Linked DNA regions of Oryzias latipes. The main gene of each other region encodes a partner of the protein of the gene in region 2 in a complex. Links are inferred from orthologs where the notes say so. Each region holds a gene or a part of one and is shown on either strand. Other genes may lie near its edges.

The links. The genes of interacting proteins can lie anywhere in the genome.
Region 1: the proteins of yap1 (region 2) and smad1 are in contact, whole or in part, in an NMR structure (PDB 2LAW), measured with the Homo sapiens proteins. The link is inferred for Oryzias latipes from reciprocal best matches to the Homo sapiens genes YAP1 and SMAD1. Residues at the interface, in NP_001123617.1 of Homo sapiens: Glu237, Ala239, Met240, Thr241, Tyr247, Ile249, Asn250, His251, Lys254, Thr255, Thr256, Trp258; in NP_001003688.1 of Homo sapiens: Thr222, Pro223, Pro224, Pro225, Ala226, Tyr227, Leu228, Pro229, Pro230, Glu231, Asp232, Pro233.
Region 3: the proteins of yap1 (region 2) and smad7 are in contact, whole or in part, in an NMR structure (PDB 2LTV), measured with the Homo sapiens proteins. The link is inferred for Oryzias latipes from reciprocal best matches to the Homo sapiens genes YAP1 and SMAD7. Residues at the interface, in NP_001123617.1 of Homo sapiens: Thr241, Gln242, Asp243, Tyr247, Ile249, Asn250, His251, Lys254, Thr255, Thr256, Ser257, Trp258; in NP_005895.1 of Homo sapiens: Ser206, Pro207, Pro208, Pro209, Pro210, Tyr211, Tyr214, Pro215, Met216, Asp217.

What each region holds. Positions count from the first base shown.
Region 1 is NC_019859.2:18,368,677-18,372,331, forward strand, and holds part of smad1 (mothers against decapentaplegic homolog 1), read left to right. Parts: intron 1-1,304; coding exon 1,305-1,538; intron 1,539-2,352; coding exon 2,353-2,609; intron 2,610-3,655. UniProt on the Homo sapiens protein: Transcriptional modulator that plays a role in various cellular processes, including embryonic development, cell differentiation, and tissue homeostasis.
Region 2 is NC_019871.2:6,499,779-6,503,433, reverse strand, and holds part of yap1 (transcriptional coactivator YAP1), read right to left. Parts: intron 2,003-3,655; coding exon 1,884-2,002; intron 1-1,883. UniProt on the Homo sapiens protein: Transcriptional regulator with dual roles as a coactivator and corepressor. Critical downstream regulatory target in the Hippo signaling pathway, crucial for organ size control and tumor suppression by restricting proliferation and promoting apoptosis.
Region 3 is NC_019870.2:9,746,983-9,749,927, reverse strand, and holds the end of smad7 (mothers against decapentaplegic homolog 7), read left to right. Parts: intron 1-1,441; coding exon 1,442-1,977; 3' UTR 1,978-2,313; downstream 2,314-2,945. UniProt on the Homo sapiens protein: Antagonist of signaling by TGF-beta (transforming growth factor) type 1 receptor superfamily members; has been shown to inhibit TGF-beta (Transforming growth factor) and activin signaling by associating with their receptors thus preventing SMAD2 access.

The sequences.
Region 1 (3,655 bases), on a different chromosome or scaffold from region 2:
GCTGCCACCCTGACAAGTGGGAGTGTCCAACTGCGGTTGCACATAATATCACAGCCCAGATCACATTCTGTTAAACAGCTTGAGCTTGTGTTGCTAATCTAATTAGTGGTAGTGACCTCCACTAAAATATTTATGCAGGAAAAATCCTGTTTTAAAGATCAAAAACTTAAGGATGTTAGTCTATGTGTTCATATACTTTTAATATTTTTTGACTATGACGCCTAAACTCTTCATTCCATTATTAGTGACAGTATTATGAAAAAATATTACGTGCAAAAATGTGATTTCATTAATATGAAAAAGAAGCATTCAGCTATTGCTAAATCAAAAAAAAAAGATGGATGGACAGAAAATAAAGACACACTTTGTATGCTTTTGCCAAACTCCAATCTAAATATTCATGACTATCCCTAATCAGACTTACAGCACCTTGTCTGGGTACTCTGGATTTTTTTAATTTTGTGTTTACTTTTTTCTAAAGTTGCTCAGTTGTCTTTCATCATCTTCAGGTTCAATGAACTAGAAGTGTATCTATTACGCAATAGGTGGGAACACCTCAATAGTCAACAGAACGGACTGTGATTGGCAGCCAGTTGTTTCAAAAGGAATCCCACACAACAGAACTCCGGTCCACACAGAACCAAGGTTCTTATTTTTGTGAAGCGGCTGTGCTCAGTACCCTCATTCATATAACAATAAAGGTCCAGCTCATAAACGGCTCATTTATACAGTTTTATTTTAAAAAGCCTCCCAACTCTCTTGAATAATATCAGACCCATGTATGTTTTTTTTTTGTTTTTTTTGTTTTATTGCTTCTACAAATGTCTACAATTTTGCACACCAAATCTCAGAGATTCTGGACACTTCTACAGATAATGGTACCGGGCGCAGCTGCTCAAAACAAATCTGTTGCTGGAAGTGGGAGTTGGTGCGTCTTTTTCTGCTCCACAAGCTGCATCCTGCACCGGAAGCAGGTTTCTATTGTGTACCAGCTCCAGTTAGGCAAAAGACAAAACACACCTGCCAGTCAGTGCCATGCTAAAGAGGGATTTTGGGAGACATATGTACCTAAATACACATGATTTGTTCCTTTCAATTATGGGATGGGGCCAGCTCAGAACTCTGGCAAAAGTAACTGGAAATCCGGAATGACTGCGAACCTTTATGATGAAATTATTCATTTTTTCTGCTTCAAGTCTTAAAGATATTATGTTTTAATATTTAAAAAAACGATTGATGAGATTCTGTTGTAGGAGTGAGTTAGAATTGATGTGGACTGACTGACTATGTTGGAATGTTCTCAGTGTCCTCTCCAGATGTGCAGCCAGTGGCTTATGAAGAACCCAAGTACTGGTGCTCCATTGTTTACTACGAACTCAACAATCGAGTAGGTGAAGCGTTCCAGGCTTCCTCCACCAGTGTTCTCGTCGACGGCTTCACAGATCCCTCCAACAATCGCAATCGATTTTGCCTCGGCCTGCTCTCCAATGTGAACCGGAACTCCACCATCGAGAACACCCGACGGCACATTGGCAAAGGTAATCCCGTAAGCAGGTTCCTATGGAGCTTAGCTTTTGTTTCTGATATGAACACACAAACCTTAACTCAGTAAAATGGAATCACAAAAAGGGGGGGGGGGGGGGGGGGGGGGGGTTCAGACCAGGGCAAAGTAAAGACCATACCGTTTTAAAACCAGAAATATCACTGCGGACACCTAAATATAACTCGCTCTTTGACCTTTATTTGCATAAACAGTTGAGAAGTGACGGTAGTTGAAACAATGTCAAGCTCAGGTGGGAAAGGGTTAAGATAAGATAAGATAAGATAAGATAAGACTTTATTTATCTCATGATGGATAAATAAAGTCCATCATGGACTTTATTTCCAATAAAGTCATCCAAATAGCAAATATTCAGTAGCAAATATTTGATTATTAGTACATTAACCAGATGTGTAACTGGATCCCTTCTGCGTTGTTTAAGGAGTAAAAAGATGTTGGGACACAGCAGAACCCATGGAGACCACCTCTATGAATTGCGGATCTGACAATTTTCCCAAAAGAAAATAGAAACCACAGTGTTAGCATCCCGTATCAGCTCCTCTCCCACGGGACTATAAAACAGAAAGGGCAGGGGATAACGCATACCTGACAATTTTCTGAGAAGAAAATGATATATAATAATAAAAAGGTACAAGGTACATTAAGCCCATTCATATTTTAAGTGAGGGTCTGCACCAGGATAAAAAAACAAAAATGTCACCTTAACATCTGACTGTTTTAGGTTCATGGCTGATGATTCTGACATTGAAGTTATGGTGATTAAACGTTTGTCTCTCTGTTTCACCTCTTAGGCGTCCATCTGTATTACGTTGGAGGAGAGGTGTATGCAGAATGTCTAAGTGACAGCAGCATATTTGTCCAGAGTCGTAACTGTAACTACCAACATGGATTCCACCCCACAACTGTGTGCAAGATTCCCAGCAGATGCAGCTTGAAGATATTCAACAACCAGGAGTTTGCTGAGCTTCTGGCCCAGTCTGTCAACCATGGCTTTGAGGCAGTTTACGAGCTCACTAAGATGTGTACCATCCGCATGAGCTTTGTTAAGGTGAGTTGGTTCGGCGAGACTGAACGAGAACAGGAAGTTGGGGTTGTCCTTAACACTCTCCCCCCTTAGTATGATCTGTGCTGTTATATCTTTTCTATTTATTTTAATGCTTTGCCTGTAGCCTATTTTTTATTAACAGTTATTTTAATTGTCGTCTTATGATTCCTTTATAAATGTTATTTTTAGCTTTTAAGGTAGACAAAGAAAACAGATAACAAATAACCGCCGGGCAAATTCTGGCTTATTGCAGGGATGCTTTTAAATTGAAATTGAAATTGAAGTTAACTTTTATTGGCAACAACAACCACAGATGGTTGGTGCTGCCTGTACTTACAGGTTCCTTTTGTAGCATAAATGCAAATGTCTGTCTGATGTTAAAACCAAATTGATTATCAGTAGAAAACATAAAACAATTAAAGTAATCTGAGTTATGTTGATTTCAATTACTATTTGTATAAAAAAACATTTGTATAAAAAAAGAAATGTTTATTTTTTCATCAGTGAATCCCTATTTGCAGAAATAAAAGTTACAAACAAAATACACAGATTTGCATCGTTGAGCACCAGCTGTTTCCAGCATCACTTTAAACTACTAGAACTGTCAGGACACGGTTTCCCACAATGCACTGTTTTGTAGTGATAAGGTGCCTCGCAGATACAAATTTAGTACTGCGCTGAACTGGGTAGGCGCATTGCACCCGCCCTTTTTTCTCGAGATGCTTTTATGATGATTGACATGTGACGAAGCATAAAACTAACCAGCATACACCGCACAGCAGGTGATCTGTGCAGCACTGCGTCCGCCTGGGGGATATCAAACACTATTAGATGACTCTGGTGATCACACATCCTGATAGGCTGAAGACACTTGATTTAGGTAGATTTAGGTAGTCCCGGGAGAGCTGGGACACAGGCAGGATTATGTAAATTATGTAATCCTGGAAACATTTGTTTTTAAATATTTCTTATATATTAAAAAAAGTTCTGCACATTTGTAATTCATGTGAAAACATAGTTTGATTTACAAGACATTCTTGCATTCCTAT
Region 2 (3,655 bases):
TAAGTGTCCAATAAGTATGATGAAAAAAACCAAGCGTTACAAAGCAACAGCTAACTGGCGATTTCGCGAAAGGCAATATTTACAGAGTATTTAGTGAAATATCGATAAAAACATTAGCATTGAGGATATACTCACCTTTTGTTATTTTAGGTTTGCATCTTTTCTGGCTAGCTACTTTGAATTCTGCTTTTATGTGTCGGTTCATCAGCGTCAAATGTAACTAGACATCCAACTTCCTTGATGTGGGGGTGCTTTCACAATAAAATACTCCCGTTGACTTGCTTTTGATTAGGTGGGTTATTCCAAAAATGTTCACACCTTTATTGGGGTTAGCTGTCTCACTTGAGTGTACCAAATAGAGGGAAAAGTCATACAGCTGCAACAGCTGAAAGTCTGGGATGGTTATTACCAGGAATAAGAACTGACCAGCAAAAAGGGCACAGACAGGAAAACAGGCTAGTACTGTTCAATCTCTGATTAACGCATATTATTGAACGCCTGGATTTCCCCATTACACCACGAAACTATATAAAACGTATGGTTTTTTCGTTCCTTGAGTTATTTCCACATCAGTTGTAGCGTTTGCATTTATATTGGGGTGGGCAGCACCAACATTTGCTTGCAAATGAACCAAAGCCCTTGCTTTTCAAGTGGACCAGTATTTGCTTGATTAAGAATTCAGATGAGCTCTCCCACTTGCAGAGCTAAGAAAGCTTTCAGAGGTTTCAGAGGAACTCTACTCCACACCAAATGCTCCAATGTGAACGTGTCCTTAGAGGTTAAAATGCCACCTAGGACAAAATGGGAAGCTATGGATTTTGCCCCATTGCTTTTTGCGACAATATTGGTTAAAAAAAAAATTCTGCTGATAATCAACTTGCACTGGGTGTATCTTTACCCAAAGACAATTGGGAGAGGTTACAGGAAGCTTTAAACCTTAGCTATCACAAAATATGTAAAGAATAAATGAATGGGTTTGGACAATAATTGACAAAACTTCAACACCAATGTTGACATAAGTAATCACGGGCGATGTTATCACCTTACACTAAGAAAATCCTCTCAAGATGGAAACCTGGTGTTTAAACTTTGCACAGTTTAAGTCATCCTTTTGATCATGATGGACAATACCCAATATGTACTTTGGAAGACGATCTCAATGCCACTTCAATTATTGCTTTTTAACGATAACAAAAAAGCTCCAAATGTAAAGTCAGTTAAACAGTAAACCTTTTTACTGTTGTCAAAATCAATTTAGAGTCAAAACTAAAGACAAAAAAGTTGACTCACTAACAAAGAGTAGCAAGGCAACAATAACCCAAATGACAGAGCTTGATCCTGTCATAGCTGCGCGTTTCAAACGTGAGTATACTCTCAGCCAATGTTGTTGAAGAGGTAATTTGCGTTCAAGTTTAGACAAACATTCAAAAAGCCTAACAGGGTATATTTAAAGAACAGGTACCAAAGGAAACGATCAGCTGCAACTTTTATCTTGGAGTAAATTGTTATGTCAGTGACAAACAAACCGGTTTTTTGGTCTGCAGCCCGGGTTATTTTTATGTTTTCTCTCAAGTTAACAGTGTGAGGAGGATAAACTTCTATCTGTAGACTTTTAATCTGTGAACCACAGAGCTCCAAAACATGTCAGACAGGAGGTGTAACTTTACGCCTGAGTCTTACATCACCTAGGGCAAATTCCAACAAAATGGCCAGAACTGAGGCACTCCGGGTGGTGACATGTAAGAACTAGACTACACCTGGATTCGAGTGTGCGCTGTATGAAAGCAAATGTCCTTCATTGGGGCGTAAATTAGAAGTCAATCCACAAAAACATGAAATGACAAACTACAAGTGATAAACTAAGAAGGAGCAAGAGTACATACCACTAGCTGGGCTTAAAAGGTTCTGCTGCTGAACTGGAACGGTACTGGGAGGGGTAGCCTGGTTCAACTGGAGCAGGGCTTTGCGTGGATCCTGCCAAGTGGTGGTTTGATCAATGTGGCTGTAGAAAAAACAAAATAACAGAAAAGTCAAAATCAGTTTCTTGCAGCAGCAAATTCAGACCAGAAGCAAACATGGAGTGATTACTCAAGAGGGACTCCTTGATGAAATCAATCCCTGTTTTTCAACCTCACCTGTAGAGTTCATACTTACACATACGACATATCTGGACAGAACAAGAACAATATAAGAGGTAAAAGATGGCAAAAAATAAACAAAAAAGACAATTTGGGACTATCTAAGAGGCCATAACTGGTTTCAAAACAACCATTGTCACATCAAACAATGTTGCTTCATCTATTTTCTCACTATCTTCGCTGGGATGGGATCAGGGGAGCTGGGGGGTAGAGGTCATTGTGTGCACTGTGAAGGCATTGATAATTAGTGCTTTGTTGGCACTTGTTGCTTGATTAAGATTGAAAGCTAATACAGGAAACCCTTCTCTTCCAAGCAGGACCCTCTCTATTGAGGGAGGGTCAGTGCCAGGCCTCAACACAAGGCCCCCCCCCCCCCCCCTCTTTTTTTTTTCCCTGGAAGCGCTTCGGACACTGCAGAGTGTCAGGGGCTTTAACAATCTGGCGCCACATTTACAAAGCTTTCACCTGCTTGACAAAAGCGCAGACTGAGCTACGACCTAAAACTATTCACTTGTTCTTTTACTTTTTGTTGTCTTTTTATTTTTATTTAGGGAGCTCCTCATCGGACATAAAAAGGTACCGAACTTAATGACAGAGTGGGTTTACGAAAAAGTGTAACAGCTACTATTCTCTTATTTTGAACTACACATCCCATGTTGTGGATGCGTTTTCCCACCCACTCCGTGTTGTTACAGCTCGTGGTTAATTTGATCTCAAGGCACCATTAGGCAGGATTTTGGAACAGATGGTTGTAGTGAGGGGTTCAAAAAGTTTCTCTCGGACTGTGCCGTAATCCCAGCCTGCCTGTCTGCTTTCTGTCCCAGGCCAGAGAGTGAGAGGGCCTGACTCAGCACTCCTCCCCCTGACACAATGAAACCCATTTTGAAGCCCCCTCATTTATGCTTTATTGATCAAAGGAGCTGCCCCCCCCCCCCTCCCCCACCACCAAACCTTCCCCCCCACCAGCCCTCACACACAAACACTGCAGACCAAGCAAAACAGTGGGAGCTGCTGCAAGCGGACGCGTCCTTTAAGGAGCCGGCCAAAACGAAAGAGTTAAAAATCAAAACTTCCACTGAAAGCTTTCCGGACTGAATTCCATTGGTTACATGAGTCACACAGACGGGGAGAGAGCCCGCCCTAACCATCTTGGGAGACTATACAGTGTTTGTAACAAAAGGGGAGGGGAAAAAAAAAACCAAGACGCTAGGGAGGAGACTTTAGAGTAGAGGAGAAGCGGAATAAAGATGGGAGAGTTTTTTGTACATGAGAGGCCTGCACATCCTGGCACACCAAACAGAAATCCAACTAAATAAAAACAGATAGCTGGATACACAGAGCTTCAAAGCTTCTAGGACACATGGTTCTCCAAGCTGAGCACAGAAGATAGTAAAAATATCTTCTGTAAACCACTGTCTCAGACTGTTTAGGTTTTTTCTTCCCCCTACGGTTTGTCAAAACAGATATAAACAAAACCTTCGGAGAAACACAAAGATACATGTTAATGTGTTACCCAG
Region 3 (2,945 bases), on a different chromosome or scaffold from region 2:
AATCCCTCCTTTTCCCCCCGTTTAGATCGCTGGATGTTTTGTTTTCCTGTGCACGCCATGAGATTTAAAATAAAATCCCCCTCTGGCTCGGTTTGGTCCAACTTCAAAGGACACAAGCCCTTCTTGCTTTATGGAGAAGCATGCTTTCAGTTTGCGCCCCCCCCCCTTCCCCATCCTCGTCTTCCTCTCCTAATGTTGTCTTTTTCCCTCCCCTCTCCCTGCATTTAATGAAGGCTAATGACAGGCCGTGCTAAGTCAGCTTGGACCGGCAAAGATCCTGCCGCATTACCATTACAGTTAGTCTCAGACGGGACCTTCCAAATTACCGGTTACATTCCCAGCTACTGCCAAATGAAAGAGGGAGTCAAATGAGAAAGATGTGTGCTGGGAGGGACTTTGTCTCCCCTCTTTTTTTTATGTAAAAACTTGTTTCGACGGGAAAAAAATCCAGCAAAGAGACAAATCCAGATAAGAGAAGTCGCAACAAAGAGGTGGGGACCCTTCAAAAGCTTCAAAGGTACCTAAAGATCAGGAGAGGGAAGCAAAAGTTGCAGAAGTAACAGTCAAAATATGTGAAAAGCATTCCTTCTCTGCTCCCCGCCCCCCTCCCTGTCTCCCTCCATTTCCCTTGCGCCTGACTGGCTCCCACTTTTCTAGCTGAGAGCCAGATTTCTGCGGAATAGAGATATGAAGGGCGAGGGGGGGACGGCACAGGAGGCACTCCGAAGGGGGGGAAACAGGCGAGGGGGGGAAGGAGTTTGGAAACTAGAGCATAGCCATTTCTACACTTCTTTTACACCCAGGGGAAACTTTAGACCGGTGAGGCCTTGCTTGTCAACGGTCCAGACACCAGAGTTCGAGAGTTAACGGCCTGTCTCAAACGTCTGCCGCGCATGGTTTATGTGTTTGTGTGAGAGCTCTTCATCTGGTTGCCGCCAGAGTCATCCTAGCTTTATCTTTGTCAATCAAAGATGGGTTTTTATTTTTATTTTATATCCTCCAGCAGAGTGAGAAGTGTTGCTGTAGAGACGATGAGGACGGTAGGCTGACGTCAGTACATTGTTGGCAGTGCTGCTACAAAAATACAGTGAGCCAGACAGAAGATAAGCATTTAATGCCTAGATAAATATTGTAGTACATGTGGAAACTTGCCTGGCTGTGTCTCTGGGTTGATTTTCTTGTCAAAGATCCAGGAATTCCGACATGGCTTTCCTGCATGGCAGAAATTGGGGAGGACAGTTTTGTTTTGGCTCCCGACTTAAGAGAAGTCGCAATTTCCCAAAACAGTGATAAAGCATACTTTCTTCCGTTGCAGCAGATTTCCTTTTAGATATATTTGACATTTGAGTTTTCTATCCACTTCTCTTTGCACCTCTTTACTTATTTACCATAATCATTGATGTTACTTTTTTTATAACATTCTATGCTTCCTCTTTTTCAGATTCTTTGGCGTTGCAGGACTCTGAGCGAGGCTATTGGTGCGTGGTGGCTTACTGGGAGGAGAAGACACGCGTTGGGCGCCTCTATTCGGTCCAGGAGCCCTCTCTGGACATTTTCTATGATCTACCTCAAGGGAACGGCTTCTGCCTGGGCCAGCTCTGCTCCGACAACAAGTCCCAACTGGTGCAGATGGTGCGGAGCAAGATCGGTTATGGCATCCAGCTGACACGCGAGCCAGACGGAGTGTGGGTCTACAACCGCAGCTGCTACCCTATCTTCATCAAGTCGGCCACACTGGACAACCCAGACTCACGCACGCTGCTGGTGCACAAGGTGTTTCCTGGATTCTCCATTAAAGCTTTTGACTATGACAAGGCCAACAGCCTCCAGAGGCCAAACGACCACGAGTTCACGCAGCAGCCTCGCACAGGCTTCACGGTGCAGATAAGCTTTGTGAAAGGCTGGGGACAATGCTACACCAGACAGTTCATCAGTAGTTGCCCATGCTGGTTAGAAGTCATCTTCAACACCCGATAGCAGCAGCCTTTTCCCTCGTCACCCTCATCCTCGGAAAAAAAATACTTCACCCATCTTTCTTTTTTCGTTCCAGCGGCTCAAACACAGAAAAAAAAGGATTTAAAAGAAGAAGAAGAAAGTTTAAAATCCTGACAGACTTTGTTTCATAATTGACTGAAATTTAATTAAAGAAGAAGTGAAAAAAATGTATTTTATGTTAAATATAAATATATTATTAATTGTAAATATGAAGATGTTTTATATGCATCATTATTTATGTATTGTGCAATGTGTTGATGAGAAAAAAACAAGATGCACTTTGCTTAATATAAGTACAAAAACAAAGAAATGCCAAAATAATAAAAAAAAGCCAATAATATTTTGTATTCAGTCTCTTTGGTTTTTCCTTCTTTTGGGGGGATTTTAACATTATTATTTTACCAGCCTTCTTTTTGCACAATTTTCAAATCAGTTCATTAAATTGGATCCACATGTTCCCTCCATAAAGCCCCTCTAATTTTGTCTTCTTTATAACTAAAGTCAACATTGGCTTGACTTAGTGTTACTAAAGGGCTTTTAGGCCATGCCGTGTATCTTAAAAGCAATTTCCTCAAAGACAAAAATGAGTCAGACTTTGACAGAATCCCATCTCAAAGCCCCCTGTTTCTACAGCCTCATCATGCCTAAAAACTGTCTGTTTTCTTGAGTTATTTGGGGAAGAATGTCTCTCATCTTCTCTGTCATTACCTGACTCATGACATCACAGCCAGGAAGCGGTAATGGCGATTGTCAGGAACCAATAAAGTCAACAGTGGGTCCAGGTTTCTAAAGGAACCAGTTTATTCAAATGTTTGGTTAAGAGAAAGGATGAAGATTTTTTTTGTCACATCTATGAAAAGTAACTATGGAGACAAAACTAAAGTCTTTGATACTGACTATGCCGTGGACGCTATGGCCTATTTATGAACGCTTAAAGCTCTACAAACGAG